Coturnix japonica: one gene and its partner. Each later gene encodes a partner of the first gene's protein in a complex. Links are inferred from orthologs where the notes say so. Each region holds a gene or a part of one and is shown on either strand. Other genes may lie near its edges.

Region 1 (3,400 bases):
CCTGCCCCAGCTCCACCGTGTCCCCCCCAGCCCCACCATCACCAGCCCCGAGCTCTCACCGTAGCAGACAACAGCAGCTCGTGCCCCGCGGTAATAGATGCGGCTCATGGCCTCGTAGCGCTCAGAGCCCGCTGTGTCCTGTGGGAACAAAGGGAAAAGTCAGCGAGGGGGTCAGGGGCTGAGCAGGGCCGGTGTGAGCAGGGACAGTGTCAGCAGGGACAGTGTCAGCAGTGATGGTGTGAGCAGTGATGGTGAGCAGTGATGGTGTGAGCAGTGATGATGGTGTGAGCAGTGATGGTGGTGTGAGCAGTGATGGTGTGAGCAGTGATGGTGTGAGCAGTGATGTGTGCCAAGCAGTGATGGATGCTTGCTGAGCAGTATGGTGCAGTGAGCAGTGATGATGGTGGAGCAAGTGATGTGTGTGAGCAGTTGATGCGTCTGCCGTGTGAGCAGTGATGCGGGGGAGGGGAGCGGAGGGGAGTGAGGCGGGGACGGGGCGAAGGGGGGGTGGTGAGCACGCTGTATTGGGTCACGGCATGTCGTCAGCAGTGATGGTGTCAGCAGTGATGGTGTGAGCAGTGATGATGGTGTGAGCAGTGATGGTGTGAGCAGTGATGGTGGTGTCAGCAGGGCCGGGGCTCAGTGCTCGGTGCTCACCCAGATTCCCAGCGTCACCGTCTGCTCCCCCACTGTCAGCACCTTAGCCACGAACGCAGCCCCGATCGTCTGCAAAAGAAGCGTTGGAGGCACGGCGGGGTCAGGGGGGGGATCCGAGATGGGACACGGGGAAACACACGGGCTGGGGATGCGGTGGGACACGGCACCGGGGGGAACACGAGGAGTCGGCGGGGGGGGGGGACATTGGGCCAACGGAGACGAGCGGGCTGACACGGGGATACGGGCACATAGAGAAGAACGAGGGAACAACGCGGGGACCCGACCCAGGGGAAGCGGCCCGGGGACACGGAGGGGACGGGAACCCCGGGACAACCGGGCCGGGACAGCGGGGGATCCTCACGTTCTGGTAGGGCCCGGCGCGGAAGCGGCGATGCACGCAGCGCTCCACCAGGCTGCTCTTGCCCACGCCCTCCTGGCCCAGCAGAACCACTTTGGCGTCCACCCGCCGCCCGCTCATCCTCGCGCCGGGCCGGGGCGGGGCCGGGGCGGCGGAAGCGGGCGGGGCTCACGGCGGAAGTGCCCGCGGGGCGGAAGTACGTGCGAGCGAGGCGGAAGTGCGCGGCGAGGGACGGGGCCGCATGGCGGCCGCCCAGCAGGCCAGGGCCGGAACCGGGGCGGCGGCGGCGCGGCCCTGAGCCCTGAGCACATGGGGAAATACTGCGCCAGCCTGGGCGTCCTCAAGGGGCCCTGGGACCAGGTGTTCGCCGCCTTCTGGCAGCGCTACCCCAACCCCTACAGGTGCGTACGGCCGATGGAGGCCCCGCTCCGAGCTGCCGGTACCGGGCGCTGAGCGGCGCTTCCCTGTGTCCGTTGCAGCAAACATGTGCTGACCGAGGACATCGTGCACCGGGAGGTGACGGCGGACCACAAGCTGCTCTCACGGCGCCTCCTGACCAAGACCAACCGCATGCCGCGATGGGCCGAACGATTCTTCCCGGCCAACGTCGCACACAACGTTTACATCGTGGAGGATTCAATCGTGGACCCCAAGAACCGAACCATGACCACGTTCACCTGGAACATCAACCACGCGCGTCTCATGGTGGGTGCGGGGGGGTTTGGGAGCACCCAGAGCTGGGCTGTGCTCAGAGCTGTGCTCAGAGCTGTGCTGTGCCCTGAGCTGTGCTGTGCTCTGTGCTGTGCTCAGTGCTGTGCTGTGCTCAGTGCTGTGCCCTGAGCTGTGCTGTTCCCTGCAGGCAGTGGAGGAGCGCTGTGTCTACAGAGTGAACCCTGAGAACAGCAGCTGGACCGAAGTGAAGCGCGAGGCCTGGGTCTCCTCCAGCCTCTTTGGCGTCTCGCGGGCAGTCCAGGTGAGAGCTGGACCTGGACACTGTACTGCTTTTCCTCCTTTCCCTGTCACTTTCCGACCTTTGTGATCTCTTGGTGGGTCCAGAGCCACGAAATATTTGGGGTTGATCAGCCTGGGATAGAGGCTGAGGAGTTTTTCTGTTGCAGGAGTTTGGTCTGGCCAGGTTCAAAAGCAACGTGACCAAGAGCACTAAAGGATTTGAATACGTGCTAGCAAGGATGCAAGGTAAACAGCCGAGGGCAGGGTAGGGCTGGACAGGACAAGGCTCTGGGAGATGCAGGTCGTGCTGGCATCACTCTGTGTGCAGGGCCCGGCTTGAGCTAAATTGACTGTGACATCTTTGCTCTTTGCCTTTTGCCTTTGCCCTCACCAAGTGCTCTTCCGCTTAGAGCTGCCAGGCCCAGGCTGTGCTGGTCAGGGCTGAGCGGGGGTGGAGCACGGGCAGGAGCAGAGCAGCAGTTGTCACGTGCCTGGAGCTCACTGGGACGTGCTGTGATGCATGTGGGCTGGGAACACAGGGCTGGGCTTTCCCTGTATGGAGGAGGAGGCAGAACGTGGCTCACCCAGCTTGTTTTAGCTGGGGCGGGGCGGGGGGAACAGGCATCGGGTCAACAACTCGTGTGTTTCAGGAGAAGCTCCATCTAAAACTCTGGTGGAAACAGCAAAGGAAGCAACTGAGAAAGCAAAGGAGACAGCTCTGGCTGCTACAGAAAAAGCCAAGGACCTGGCGAGCAAAGCAGCCACCAAGAAGAAGCAGTTCGTGTGAAGAGCTGGACGCAGGCAAGAGCTGGGCTACGCCAGAACAGATAGGAGCCTCCTTAGATTTTATATTTTTAACTGTAAAAGTCTGACAATCAGCTGCTGTTAGATCCTAAGGTGTAATTATCATTAAAGAGTCAACTTCCACCTCTGACTTGGCTGAGGGCTGGGCTGTCAGAGCAGAGCTCTGGGGATGGATGTGGGCGGTGAGTCCTGCTGGCCGCAGGCAGGAAGCAGACGTAGTTTAACCAAGTGCCTTTACTGCAATAATAGTGTCGATATGTACAAGAAAAGGAGTCAAGGTGGTGGTGGGAGCGCGAAGCGTTGCTCAATGTGCTCACTTCCCCTTGCTGGCTTCACCAGGGTTAGCCTGGAGCTGCATCTGGGGGGCGGGCACTACCCTGTGTCTACTGTACACACATCCCCACTGGGCCGGGCTGTCCACCAGTGCTGCTTGTACTCCTGCAGCGCTTTGCTGTGCAGTGGAGCCCGGAGCCGTGCGCCCAGCGCTGTGCCCAGCTCCATCCAGCCGCCTGGGCTGGGGATGTAGGGATGCACCAGGCACCCGATGCCCCCACAGCCGCGTCCCGAGGGACAGCGCCGTCAGGACCAGGGGCTGCGGGGGCTGGAGTAGCTGTGGTCTCTGCCGGTGCT
Region 2 (4,029 bases), on another chromosome or scaffold:
AGTGCAGCTTAACGTACAGTGCTACTGCAGTCTGATTTGTGAGCATGTAAGGGAAGTCAGGAAGTTCTGTTTGCCTTCCTGTAAGCAGTGCTGGGCAGGAGCTGTAAGGTAACATTAACCCCTCTACTGCTTTAGGCTCAATAGCTTGCAGCCTGCTCCAGGTTTGGTTTGTTAGTACAGATGATTAGAGTCATCCCTTACTTTGGAAGGTGTTGGGTTAACTCGAGCACGATGCAAAAGTTCTATAGAAGCTATGGTACCTGGTGGGGCTACGAAGTATTCCTCGACTTTCTCCGTGGCGTTTTTCAGCAGCTGTGCCGTGCAGTTCCCCTCGGTAACGTCATCTTCCCGCAGATAAAGACACCTGAGGACAGCGGCCGGAGGTCTGCATGGAGCACATTGGGGCTGGATGTGCACGGGGCACCAACACGGCCCTTACCTGTCCTCCAGCACCGAGTCCATGGGCTGGACACCCTCCGTATCCACCTCCCGCAGCCGCTCCGCGAATCGCACCGCGTCCCGCAGCCGCTCCACGCCGTCGGCATCGCGGAAATCCACCAGGGCCAGGCGCTCCAGGTGGTCGAGAACCTCCATCGTGACGCCGTCCTGCAAGAGAGCACAGATGGGGCTCCTCAAACCGTTACCTCCACTAATGGTATGGTATGGTATGGTATGGTATGGTATGGTATGGTATGGTATGGTAATGGTATGGTTATGGTATGGTATGGTATGGTATGGTATGGTATGGTATGGTATGGTATGGTTAGGGTAGGGTATGGTTAGGTTATGCTATGGTATGGTTATGCTATGGTATGGTTATGCTATGGTATGGTTATGGTATGGTATGGTTATGATATGGTTATGGTATGGTATGGTATGGTATGGTATGGTATGGTATGGTATGGTATGGTATGGTATGGTATGGTATGGTATGGTATGGCATGGGTATGGGTATAGGTATGGGTATGGGTATAGGTATGGGTATGGTATGGTATGGTATGGCATGGTATGGTGATGGTTATAGGTATGGGTATGGCATGGCATGGTACGTTACGGCCCGGCCCCGTGCTCTGTCTGACCTGCGGTGTCGGCGCGGCGCTGGCTGTGCACACGCTGATCCTGAGTGCTCTCACCGTCCCGCCCCGCAGTCCCCGCCATAACCCCGGCACCCACATCTCGCGCCGCCGGAAGCGGTTTGTGGCGTCATCGCTACGCGCCGGAATCGCGTCGTAGCGGTGTCGGAGGGGCCGTGCCGCCATGAATAGCGTGGGGGAGGCGTGTACCGAGCTGAAGCGCGAGTACGACCAGTGCTTCAACCGCTGGTTCGCAGAGAAGTTCCTCAAGGGCGAGAACGACGGGGACCCGTGCGGGCAGCTCTTCAAGCGCTACCAGCTGTGCGTGCAGGTGCGGGCCCTGCCGAGCCGCCGCCTTCACAGCCCAGCATCGTGCCGTTGCAGCCCGTGCGGGGCGGTGCTGACGCTGCTGTTTGTAGATGACGTTGTGAACAGAAGCTTTTGTTTCTCGGTGCCGTTTGAAACGTGCTTCCAACGTAACCGTTTTGTTGTTGTTCTTCCCAGAAAGCCATCAAGGAGAAGGACATCCCCATCGAAGGGCTGGAGTTCATGGGCCCGAGCAAAGGGAAAGCTGAAAACTCCTCCTGACTTCAGCTGAATGCGGGGAGTCAGTGATACGAGCCCACGGGCTGGGAACGGCGGCCACCCAGCAGCCAGGATGGATGCACCGGGACAGCGCTTTGCTGAGCTGCTTCCTCCATGTAGCACTGTAGGAAGTGGGGTTTCCTCTGTGCCTGTAGAAACAAACTGCCGCGAGCCAAAAGACTTCACGGTGTGCTGCCTGCTGCCTCCTTCCCAATGAATCGTGGTGGTGGTTCGGCTTATAACAGTGCAAAAAGATGATTTAACTTCTGTCGAATGTACTTTATAATGGGAGATGTTGAACCTGTAGTTAATCTCTGACCCGTTTATCTTGCTTATTTATGATGTTAGGAAGCGTCTAACAAGAAGGTTGGTTTACTCTGTCTTATCTCTGTGGTGCTGAATTTGGGTGGAAGGAGGCTGGTTTATATGATCCCAAACACCAAGGGCCTAAAGCACAGGTTTTGCCAGTAACAGAGATGGTGTAAAAGCACTTTTGCTGGATTTGCAATAGCTTAAATGAAATAAATGTAAGAAGTTATATTTTGTTCAGGTGGATGACTGTTTGGTAACGTCTGATTATGACCTCCAGGAGGGACAGAGGCAGCCTGCAACAGAACTGAAGAAACAGTGAAAGCAGAGGCCACTTTCTTTGGCCTTTTCCGAGGTACTGAAGTGATCCTGAATCTGAGTTCTTGCTCCTGTAATGTAATGTGTCACTGCAGTAGAACTGCGCAGGCCTGGCTGTCTTTGCACACACGACCACACAGCACCAGGTTGGCCACAACTCCTGTTACATCTTTGATTGAGATAATCAAAGTGTTGAGTGACAGTGATGCTGAACTGAAGCTTCACAGCTGAGAAGTTCAACGCCCCGGCAGCTTGTCCCGCCTCTTGGGGGACCTCACCTGCTTATGAAACTGCTCATGGACTATGTGTGAGCTTTACACCTAGTAAAGCAAACTGAAGTTATTTGTTGGTCTTAGTGAGTTGGCTTGTAAACTGCACAAACTCCAAGTAAGTTATTAAGTAAGTTATTTAGTAGTGGTTTTGAACGAGTGAGATGGTTGTCTAACTTGCCAGGTGCCCCATCTGAGAGTGTTTGTGTTACACTTCTGTGCAGCATGACTGAACAGCACTTTGTTTTTTCCTTAAACGAGTATCTGAAATTCTCTTCCTTTGAATGTAGAAAAGTAAAGGAGGCTGCTCAGCAAAAAGAATAGGCTGGTGTGTATTTTCCCATCTAGTTATGAAGGAGTTGTTAGGAATTACCCTTCTCCTCTCCAAATGTTTTCTACCTGGTCCACCCTGATATTTCAGCAGTAAGGCTTCCTTCGCTCCTGCAGATCTTGCAACAGATAGAGAGAAAAGGTGCTTGGAGAAGCGTGAGCTCAGTTGTCCTCAGCAATGACAGTAGCTCAAACACGGTCACACAGCCTGCATTAACCACGCTCCTGTGTGCACAAGGCAGCTGGCAAAATAGTCTGTGCAGAGATTAAGTGTAGCACTTCCAAAGTGAGCTGTTAATGCTTACTGCTGGGTCACTCGGTATAAATGGAACTAACTTTCAGCTGCTAAGTTGGGACACTTCTTTCTCAGCACCAGGAAGAACACTTTGTGGTCTGTCGAGTATGCAGCTTTATTTTCGACTAGCACATAAAACTGCTTTGCTTTTCTATGATCTTCATATAAGAACTAGTGTATTTTGACAGTTAAAGTAACTGTGCCTCTTAGTGCCTTGTTCTATGCATTATCATAAGCTTAAGTTATTTTATTATAGCGCTCTTCTGAGCTACGAGGAAGACATAAATAGCACTGAAGGCTAAAGAAGATTGTCCCGTAGTGCTTCTGAAATAAAATTGTGTTTCTGCAGACTCCAGAGGTTTACAATTGGTTAACTATGCAAAATCAGTACAGCCTTCTAGGATCTGCTGAGTGACACCGTGTGTATTGCGCAGACACGCAGCAGAGCAAAAACTGCTTTTGTTTGCAATGTGTGCCCTGAGATTTTGTCCAATTGGACTGCAGCTTTCCCAGCAGTGTCGTACGTGTGCTGATATACCAGAAATGTGAGAGCTGAGGATTAACGCTGGGAAGGCTGAAAGTGCTTAAGTTCAATGTCTTTGCTGGAATTCCCTCTCCCAGAAAGGGCTGGGTAAGACAGAATTGCCTTCGTGACTCCTAAACATTGCAATAGTGGATTATGCAGGATGTGTTTCCCTGTATACTGAATTTTAATTTATAATATTAGACTGATGGCAGCTCACCTGCACGCAGGATAACAACAGTCAGTGAAATCACACATAACATGTTATTTCATTTCGTATCCTTCATGATGGACTTGTTAGCATGACTGGATATGGGAGCAGGTATT

Evidence for each region. Proteins that work in one complex are often made in the same cells at the same time.
Region 2: the proteins of PRELID1 (region 1) and TRIAP1 are in contact, whole or in part, in a crystal structure (PDB 6I3V), measured with the Homo sapiens proteins. The link is inferred for Coturnix japonica from reciprocal best matches to the Homo sapiens genes PRELID1 and TRIAP1. Residues at the interface, in NP_037369.1 of Homo sapiens: Trp15, Asp16, Phe19, Ala20, Trp23, Gln24, Tyr26, Pro27, Val34, Leu35, Thr36, Glu37, Asp38, Ile39, Val40, His41, Arg42, Val44, Gln48, Lys49, Leu50, Leu51, Ser52, Arg53, Leu55, Thr57, Tyr79, Leu81, Asp83, Ser84; in NP_057483.1 of Homo sapiens: Met1, Asn2, Ser3, Val4, Lys12, Tyr15, Asp16, Phe19, Asn20, Trp22, Phe23, Phe27, Leu28, Gly30, Asp31, Ser32, Phe41, Tyr44, Gln45, Val48, Gln49, Ile52, Ile57, Pro58, Ile59, Leu62, Glu63, Phe64, Met65, Gly66.

The regions. Positions count from the first base shown.
Region 1 is NC_029528.1:12,011,882-12,015,281, reverse strand, and holds PRELID1 (PRELI domain-containing protein 1, mitochondrial), read left to right. Parts: upstream 1-1,214; 5' UTR 1,215-1,324; coding exon 1,325-1,416; intron 1,417-1,494; coding exon 1,495-1,720; intron 1,721-1,874; coding exon 1,875-1,988; intron 1,989-2,133; coding exon 2,134-2,212; intron 2,213-2,616; coding exon 2,617-2,753; 3' UTR 2,754-2,900; downstream 2,901-3,400. Other genes in the region: RAB24 (ras-related protein Rab-24), read right to left, coding at 60-138, 658-726, 1,019-1,135; MXD3 (max dimerization protein 3), read right to left, coding at 3,350-3,400. UniProt on the Homo sapiens protein: Involved in the modulation of the mitochondrial apoptotic pathway by ensuring the accumulation of cardiolipin (CL) in mitochondrial membranes.
Region 2 is NC_029530.1:8,239,623-8,243,651, forward strand, and holds TRIAP1 (TP53-regulated inhibitor of apoptosis 1), read left to right. Parts: upstream 1-1,257; coding exon 1,258-1,404; intron 1,405-1,577; coding exon 1,578-1,661; 3' UTR 1,662-3,529; downstream 3,530-4,029. Other genes in the region: GATC (glutamyl-tRNA(Gln) amidotransferase subunit C, mitochondrial), read right to left, coding at 261-364, 440-606, 1,080-1,259. UniProt on the Homo sapiens protein: Involved in the modulation of the mitochondrial apoptotic pathway by ensuring the accumulation of cardiolipin (CL) in mitochondrial membranes.